2 separate regions of the Mus musculus genome follow, and region 1 is reported to be linked to region 2. The links are microRNA targets in miRTarBase. Many come from high-throughput screens and were not tested one by one. Region 2 holds a microRNA gene; the other region holds the end of a gene's coding sequence.
What was found. Region 2 holds the annotated microRNA mmu-miR-1969 (AAGAUGGAGACUUUAACAUGGGU, at 1,291-1,313, opposite strand). A microRNA usually pairs through its seed, bases 2 to 8, with sites in the 3' UTR of a target mRNA and lowers its output. Matches are read on the target gene's strand: a 7mer-m8 pairs with bases 2 to 8, a 7mer-A1 pairs with bases 2 to 7 and ends in A, and an 8mer does both.

Region 1 (4,066 bases), not on the chromosome of region 2:
TTACTCTACAGAGAATGCTTTGGGTATGCATTTATCAGCAGTGAAAGAAAACTCAGCACAACTACCTTGCAGCAACATATAGTTTGTAAGCTAATTTATTACTGCATATTGTTAATATACATCAAATAGATGAGTTAAGAGGACTCTGAGCTGTTTTCATAAATAGCTAAAGGTCCCCACTGCTTACCAGATCTATAAACAGTATGAGACTCCAAGGAATCATGACTGTCTGCAGGGACTGATTCAACTGGTGACAGGTGGCCAAATGTATCATGGAGTTCAGCTCCAGAAACAACTGCCTGAACTCAAAATGGAGGATGCATGATTTAATAAGTGTGAAAGGCATAAGAATCTTATCCATCACAATCTAAAATGGTGCAGCAAGACTGCCAAGTTGAGTGTCTAAATAAGGACAAGGATAGCATGCCACTTTGTCCTTTAGTTGTTTGGTCGGAATCCAGCTTGGGATGTTTTTTTTCTTTTTTCTTTTTTTTTTTTTTTTTTAAGAAAATCTATGACCTCAAGCTAGCCTTTTCATCACTCGGGACCCACCAGCTTCAGCCTCCCCAGATGCAGGCTATGAGGGGACAATACCTGTAATCCTGCTCTGGATCCTACTTTCTTTTGTTTTTTGAGACAGGGTCTCATGGAAGCTAGGCTGATCTTGAACCTGGGGCTCTCCTGGCTGTGTGGGTGCTTGGGATAGCAGTCCTCCTGAGAAACAGTTGTGAGAAACGGTCAATGTTTAGCATGAATAGACAGATGGTCTGGGGTCCCACATGAGTCTTATTAGAGAAGTAAGGAGCTAAGAGATTGATCTTTCTATATCATTGTAGTCACAAAACAAGAGCCAGTGCTTTCAAGTTACAATGAGGGTTTTCAAGCATACAGAAGATGTGTGTAGGAAGACACTGTGGTCAAGCGGATCTGGACTTCATTTATCTGGACTGATATCCAGGGAAAATCATGTATCAAACACTGAGTAGGTGACCTATAAAGTCTTGCCTACAAGCTTTGTAATTTGCCATTTATGTGTAAGGAAGGGCTCAGGACAAAGGAACATACAGACACACGCTAGAGTCTGACACAATGGATGAGCCCCTGATTAGAAGGGCGGTGATGTATTTCTCTATTTCACTTGGGTTAATATGAAGATTCTTTCCCATTCTTTCATATATACAAGCAGATATAATGTTTCCCAACAAATCTAATAAAATGAGGCAAAAGTTCAAAAGTTAACGGCCACAATAGTTTATTTACAATTGAACTCTTTATAAGATATTTACAAGACAGCCGACTTTACACATCAGAAATGGTATCAAAAGTATGAATTACAGCACAGACAACGATATGAAACGGGCATAAAATAAAGCTGAGGTGGAGAGACAAGCAATTTCTCTTTTAATTTATTAACACTAGCTTAAACTTTGTTAAAGAAAGAATAAGGAACTATGTTTTCAGAGAAGTGCAGGGCCTCTCTTTCTGCTGAAGACTGAATCTCACAGTGTTGTACCCCACGGAGGGGAAGCAGGTGACTCCCCACGCTCCTCACTGTGCTCTCACCCCAGCCTCCTCAGCATCCCCAAACCAAAGGACATCTAGGAGAGGACATAACCAAATAGTAGGTCCTCAGGGAAAGGAGAACCAAAGCAATAGAATCCACTTCAGTCCTGCCAGATAGCACCTCATGGATTCCTCTCAGTCTAGCAAAAACAGGATCTGAGGACTCCTCTGTGTAGGGCAGAAACCTGGTGGTTAAATCTGTTAACCCATACCCAAATTAGGAATCTGACAAATCTCGTTGTCAAGAAGAAACTGAGAGGGATCAAGAAACGAAGTAAAGAGACAACTGATTGAGGTTATTATTTTTGAGGAGCATGTTATAAAGAAACAACACAGGTCAGAGTAGGAGCACTAAACAGTTGGCCTCATTAAAACAACAACAACAACAACAACAACAACAATCTGGCCCAATCTTTCTAGCTATATCCCCATCCCTAAGGTGTGAGATGAGAGCCCCTAGCGGAGAAGTCCCCTTTCTCTCTACATCCTCGCTGAGGTGGTTTATGGCAGCTTCTGTCACAGAGAGACCACGCTCCTAAGCAGATGGAGTTACAAGTGAAAACCCAGAGCCACACACACACACACACACACACACACACACACACACACACACACACACACACATACAAAGGAGAATTAAGAGCAGCAAGATCATCCAAGAACACTACATGGACTGCTGGAATAATTCCTTTCAAAGTCAAACCCAGGGAGCAAGATAACGTCTCAAAAAAGCTTTAGCAGTGGGAGGCCCCTGAGAACGTCTCTTCCCACAGTGGCAATGCCATTCTCGCATGCTCAGCAGATGGGCCAACCACACACCCTACATACCTTGGCTTCTCCTCTAAAAGTGCTAATAATTTGGGGCCATGTTCTCTTCAAGGATAAGAGCCCTACCCTTCTAGAGATTAGACCCCAACTTGTTTTTATACAATAGTCCTGAAGGCTAGTGAAAGGCAACTCCTATCCAGAAGCCCACAGGCCTCGGCTCCATTTCTCTTCCAGATAGTTAACAGGGATCTTACACTGAGACCAAAGTGGCCTGGGAGTGCTGTCCTGATTTTTTTTTCTTTTTTCTTTTTTTTTTTTTTTTTTCTTTTTTATCTTTTCAGTAACAAAACAAGGGCAGGAGATGGGAAACAAGATGGTTCGTGTATAAATCTATTTTCACTAAACGAATAAAGTTCATTAGGTACAACTGTTTGTTTCAAGCTGTAGACATCTGCCAGGCAGAGGAAGCATATCCTTCCATACCCTACCCCCGGCCCCACCCCAAATCTCTACCTCACCACCAAAAGTTTGGCTAATAGGATCAAGCCCCACTAAGGAATCCTTGAAAAGTGACATGACAGAGACATCTCTACAGACTCTGGCATGCCATCCCCAAATGAGAGCTCTATCGGTTTAGCACTGTTAACTAGTTGGAAACTTACACTCCCAATCTCTTTTCTAAACATCTTCTTTGTTGGGGGTGGGAAGGAACTTCAGTTACCCATCAACTAAGAAAGTGAACCAGCTGCACGTCTCCTCCCACATGCCACTGTCACAGAGCAGTTTAAAGAGAACAAACTTTCAGGTAAAACTCTGCAGTTTCCCCCTCTGAGGAATGTCTTGCTTCATTACTTCATGCTATTCCTCGGGCCCTAAAGTTCACGGTGAAACCTACTACACCCACACTATTCAGAAGGCGCACCAGGGAGGCACGGGGTCAGGGCAGGCACAGCTCCTACAGGAAGGGTTGCTCCATCTTAGACACGCTAATGAAGAGCCCTTTACCCCGTTAGGCAGGCAGGTGAGTTACAAGTGGCCCCTGGGACCCCCAAGTCTCCCCCTATAGGACGAGCTCAAGCTCATCTCCCCAAAATGGGAAAAGCCGCTCCAGTAACCCCTAATTCACAATCAGCCAACGCAAGAGCTTTCTTCTGTTTGTTTTGTGAAATCAGAGTAAAGAAAACAAAACTAATATAAAGGGAGGATGGAAAGGCATTACCAGTGAATGATAACAGACATGAGGGCACAGGTCACACATACAGGTCTCTGCTATTCTCTCGGAACAGCATGCTACAACTATCTGAAGACAGGCTACCGCCAGCACAGCTACTTCCTACAGGTCCGGTGAGGTGTGTGCTTCTTCTGGATCTCCAACCTGCAACGGCTTCGCTCATCCAACCAGGGTAGTTCAAAGTTCCTGGCAAAAAGAAAGACAGCAAAGTGACAAGGCTACTTCCAAGGCAGTAGTCAGCTGACACAGTCACCATCCAAATGGCAATGTCATCTACCTCAGATTAAAGAGCATTCCTAAAGCCGGGCGTGGTGGCGCACGCCTTTAATCCCAGCACTCGAGAGGCAGAGGCAGGCTGATTTCTGAGTTCGAGGCCAGCCTGGTCTACAAAGTGAGTTCCAGGACAGCCAGGGCTACACAGAGAAACCCTGTCTCGAAAAACCAAAAAGAGCATTCCTAATGAGATCTGACGCCTGGCTTCTAGCTTGTCATCAGACAATCATG
Region 2 (4,067 bases):
AGAGAGAGCACGAGAGAGAGAGAGAGAGAGCCTAAATAGTCCTTTGTTAGCAAGCCAGAGTGTTGTTGGATGGAGCCTAGAAGAAATGCTAACACTTACGAAGATGTGGATAATGGTGGAATTACATTCTCATCAGCTGAGATCTCTAATGAACACTAGCCCACATTTGAGCACATGGCAGGGAGGAACAACAAATGGCCACAGCTCGATGAACAGGAATTGCTGAAAACTGAATTTGCATAAAGTTCTTTTAGAAGCAGCTTTGGCTGCTCAGACCCACTTTGCCACATTGCTGAACGCCTACAGGGACAGCAGAGATGTTTTAGGTGGGAATCACTATCATACACCGATCTCGGGGCTATGGAGATAGCTCACTCAGTAAAGTGCTTTCCATGAAGGCCTGAGGACCTGGGTTTGGATCACCAGCAAGGTATGATGGTACAGTCTGTAACCTCAGTACTGCATGGACATGAGTACATGCATCAGACGGCTTGCTGAGAGACCCTGTCTCAAAACAGGAAACCAAGAATAACAGATAGAGACCTTCTGTTGACCCTGGGCATGCACACACTTGCAAATATACATGCACACACATGCAAATGCCGTGCACATACATGATGCATATGACATAAACAGAAGAAAGCTTATAGATATTAACAATTAACTTGAATTTTGGAAAAAGTGATGGTGGCAAAGGCTTATGTACTGGGAAAATGGAAAGCTCTCTTGGTGATAAACAGGTAATGGACAGAAAGACTGACAGCATAGGACCTTGAGACCCAGTCAGTGGGACTTCCTAGGTGACTGGGCATGCTTCAATCTCCAGCAGCTCCAAGGAGGTGGTTGATCCCTTTCTTGCCAATACACGCCTGAGCTCTCAGAGCTCTGTTTCTTGCTCTGAGGAGGACTTGAGGAACCCTTCACACACATAATGCTGAATAGAAGCTGACCGGCCTACAGGTACCTGCACGCTGGTGTAACCAATGTCTGGAAGGCCTCAGCCATTCCAAGCCTTTGACTTTCTGCCACTGGAACTGGCTTCTTGATTCCATTTCCATTTGCTCTCAGGTAATGCGCTTTATCTACCCATAAGCCAGTCTGCACTCAGCTCAGGTCAGTCCCTGTTACCTGCAGCTGAAAGCCTTGGGCAGGCTGAAGACACCTGTGCCCAGGGAATGCTCCTTACCTACCAGCCCCGTGATTAGGATGTTACAAGTTCCTTCCTCTGGGTGCTGTGATGTCTACAGACCAGAAATGGAGGCAGCATGGATGTTAACAGATTTTAAGAGCACCCATGTTAAAGTCTCCATCTTCAGCCTCTAGCACTATCAGGGAGATGAGGAGACACTGGTCTCCGATCTCTGCCTCTTTTTCTTTTCCTCCCTCATTCCCTCCTCCCTTCCTTTCTCTTTGCTTCCTGACTGCTGTGAGCAAGCAGTTCCTTCTGCCCCATTCTTCCCTGGGAGGTGCTGATCCTCCACTGTTCCAAAGCGGCCATGAGATGAAATGGAATTGGCCCGTTGGTCATAAGCCAAACCAGCCTCTCTTCCGTGTAAGTTATTTGTCTCTGGTATTGTGTCACAGTGACAGAAAGCTGATATTAGCACATGTGCTCTCCTGTCTGAGTACAGTGGACCCAGCCAGCCTACAGGAGGGTGTGGCATCTCAACTAAGGTTAGACACTCCCAGAGGGATGACCAGAGCCACTCAGAACACAAAAGGACCCCAGGCAGCCACATGAGCAAAGGTAACTCTCTGCATACCTCTAATGTCTGAGTGGCTGCCGTTACCCAAGGCAGCTCCACAGTGAGTTGACCTGCAACTCAAAAGCTGCAGTTTCTTATTTTCACTAAACAAGAGAACCATGATACTCCTGTGAGGTCCTCAGTGTTGAAAGGTGACCACCAGCAAGCTGTCTTCTGTCCTGTGTGGTACCGTCTCTTCTGGGACCCCGTGCTCCTAGGCCCCTGAGAAAGAGTGTTGGAGGTGACAGATTTCATGAGGCAGATGGCACAGCCTCAGGTACAATTTCCTTTGATAAAGGTATTAAGAAAAATTATGTGCAGGGCTGAAATTATGAGTTATTATGAGTTTTTAATAATGATTTGGATTTAATTAATAAATTAGATTAAATTAGTGAAAGCTGGCAAAAGCCCAGGCTAGAGCTGGCAGAATTGCAACAGCACACAGTCCTGGCTTTGAAGCCTAATATCAAGCACAATTATTTTTAATGATTAAAACAAATGTTTAAGCTGTGGCAGCGGTGATGCTTGTCTTTTGTTGTTGTTGTTTTTTATTAATCATTTTATTCGTTTACACTTCAAATGATATCCCCTTCCCAGTTACCCCTTCACAAACCCCACATCTCATCCCCCTTCTCCCCCTCCCCTTTGCCTCTATGAGGGTGCTCTTCCACCCACTCACCCACTCCTGCCTCACCACTCTAGCATCCCCTACACTGGGGCATCAAGCCTCCACAGGACCAAGGCCCTCCCCTCCCACCAATGCCAATCAATCATCTGCTACACATGTACTGACATTGGGTGGCTCAGCAGGAGCCACGCACCCAATCGTGTGTACTATTTAGTGGATGATTTAGTCTCTGAGAGCTCTGGGTGGTCCGGTTGGTTGATATTGTTGTTTTCCTGTGGGGTTGCAAAGCCCTTCAGTCCTTCCCCTAACTCTTCCATTAGGGTCCCCAGGCTCAGTCGGATGGTTAGCTATGAGTATCCCCATCTGCATTGGTCAGGTGCTGGCAGAACCTCTCAGGGGACAGCCATACCAGGCTCCTATCAGCACTTGTCTTTAACACACACATACTGCACTTGGGAGGCAGAGGCAGGTGGATCTCTGTGAGTTAGAGGCCAGCCTGGTCTGCAGAGTGAGTTCCAGGGCAGCCTGCGATACACAGAGAAACCTGTCTCGAAAAACAAATGAATACTGCATGTGCATGTGAGTGTGCATGCAGGTAACTCTGGAGGGCAGAAAGGGCATTGGAAGCCCTGCAGCTCAGGTTGGAGGTAGTGGCATGTGAGCCACGCAATGTCAGTGCTAGGAACTGAACTCCAATTCTCTGCAGGAGCAGCGGGTGCTCTAACATCTCTTCATCCTTTGCATTTTAAAGAAGAGAAATGGGATTGTGACAGGTTATTCTAATGGTTTACAGCAGTAAGCTAGCTGATGTGACTGTGACACTGCTCCATGAATCCTACAGGGGACATGTATGACCAGGCCCATTCTGGTGTCTGCTGAATTCACAAGGTGATGGGAAGGGTGTTCCCAGCCTTGCCCACATTCTGTCTCTGTTCAGTGTCTACCATCTTCAGTCAGGATAGTGCACCTCATAGGTGACCAACCCATACAATCCCAGAATGCAGTGAAGGATTAAGACAAAAGAAGACAACTTGCTTGTGTTTTTATTTATAAGTAATACTACTTTACATATGATGGCCCAGAGGGCTAGGGCACATCAGAGAATATATATATAAGTCACCTCAACAGAGCCTCAGCCCCAGATTGGCTACTTTCAATGGCAAATGTAGTAAGAGGGCTTATGTGTTTTCCAGGGTGTGTACTGTGTTCTTGTATGTGGCTAAGAGCATATGGAGGCAAGGTGGGACCCTGAATATGAGTCCAGTCTTAACTCCAATGCACCAATTTGGTCTCATCAAACCCCACTGGGTTGAGGATAAGAGGAGGTACAAAAAGGCTGCTTCTTCCTCCTCTCCCTCCTCCCTCTTGCCCTCCCCCTCCTCCCCCATCTCTTTTGCAGCCATAGACTTGGCTCAGGAGTTAAGAGCACTTGGTGCTCTTTCAGAGTACTGGAGTTCCGTTCCCAGCACCATGTCAAGGAAACTGTAACTCTAGCTGTCTGGGATCCAATGCCCTTTCTGGCCTCTCTGGGTACCTACCCACAAATAAGATAAATATCTTTTTAAATTTCTTTAGACAGAGTCTTACTATGTAGGTCTGGCTGGTCTGGAACTCAGTATGTAGACCAGATAGCCTTGGTAATGGTCAATTCAGAGAATTTTCTGTCTCCTGCCTCCTGCCTCCTGCCTCCTGCC

Region 1: miRTarBase lists Msl1 as a target of mmu-miR-1969. Seed matches in the 3' UTR shown: 7mer-m8 at 2,105-2,111.

What each region holds. Positions count from the first base shown.
Region 1 is chr11:98,805,024-98,809,089 of GRCm38, reverse strand. It overlaps Msl1 (male specific lethal 1), which reads right to left. Exons shown (of 9, transcript NM_028722.3): 9 at 1,231-3,748. The coding sequence ends at 3,658. The region is part of intron 1 of Gm12359 (predicted gene 12359); the gene reads left to right. Among named protein-coding and RNA genes, the nearest start is that of Casc3, 2.8 kb to the left of the region's middle.
Region 2 is chr8:70,922,787-70,926,853 of GRCm38, reverse strand. It overlaps Mir1969 (microRNA 1969), which reads right to left and starts at 1,329; the gene lies at 1,236-1,329.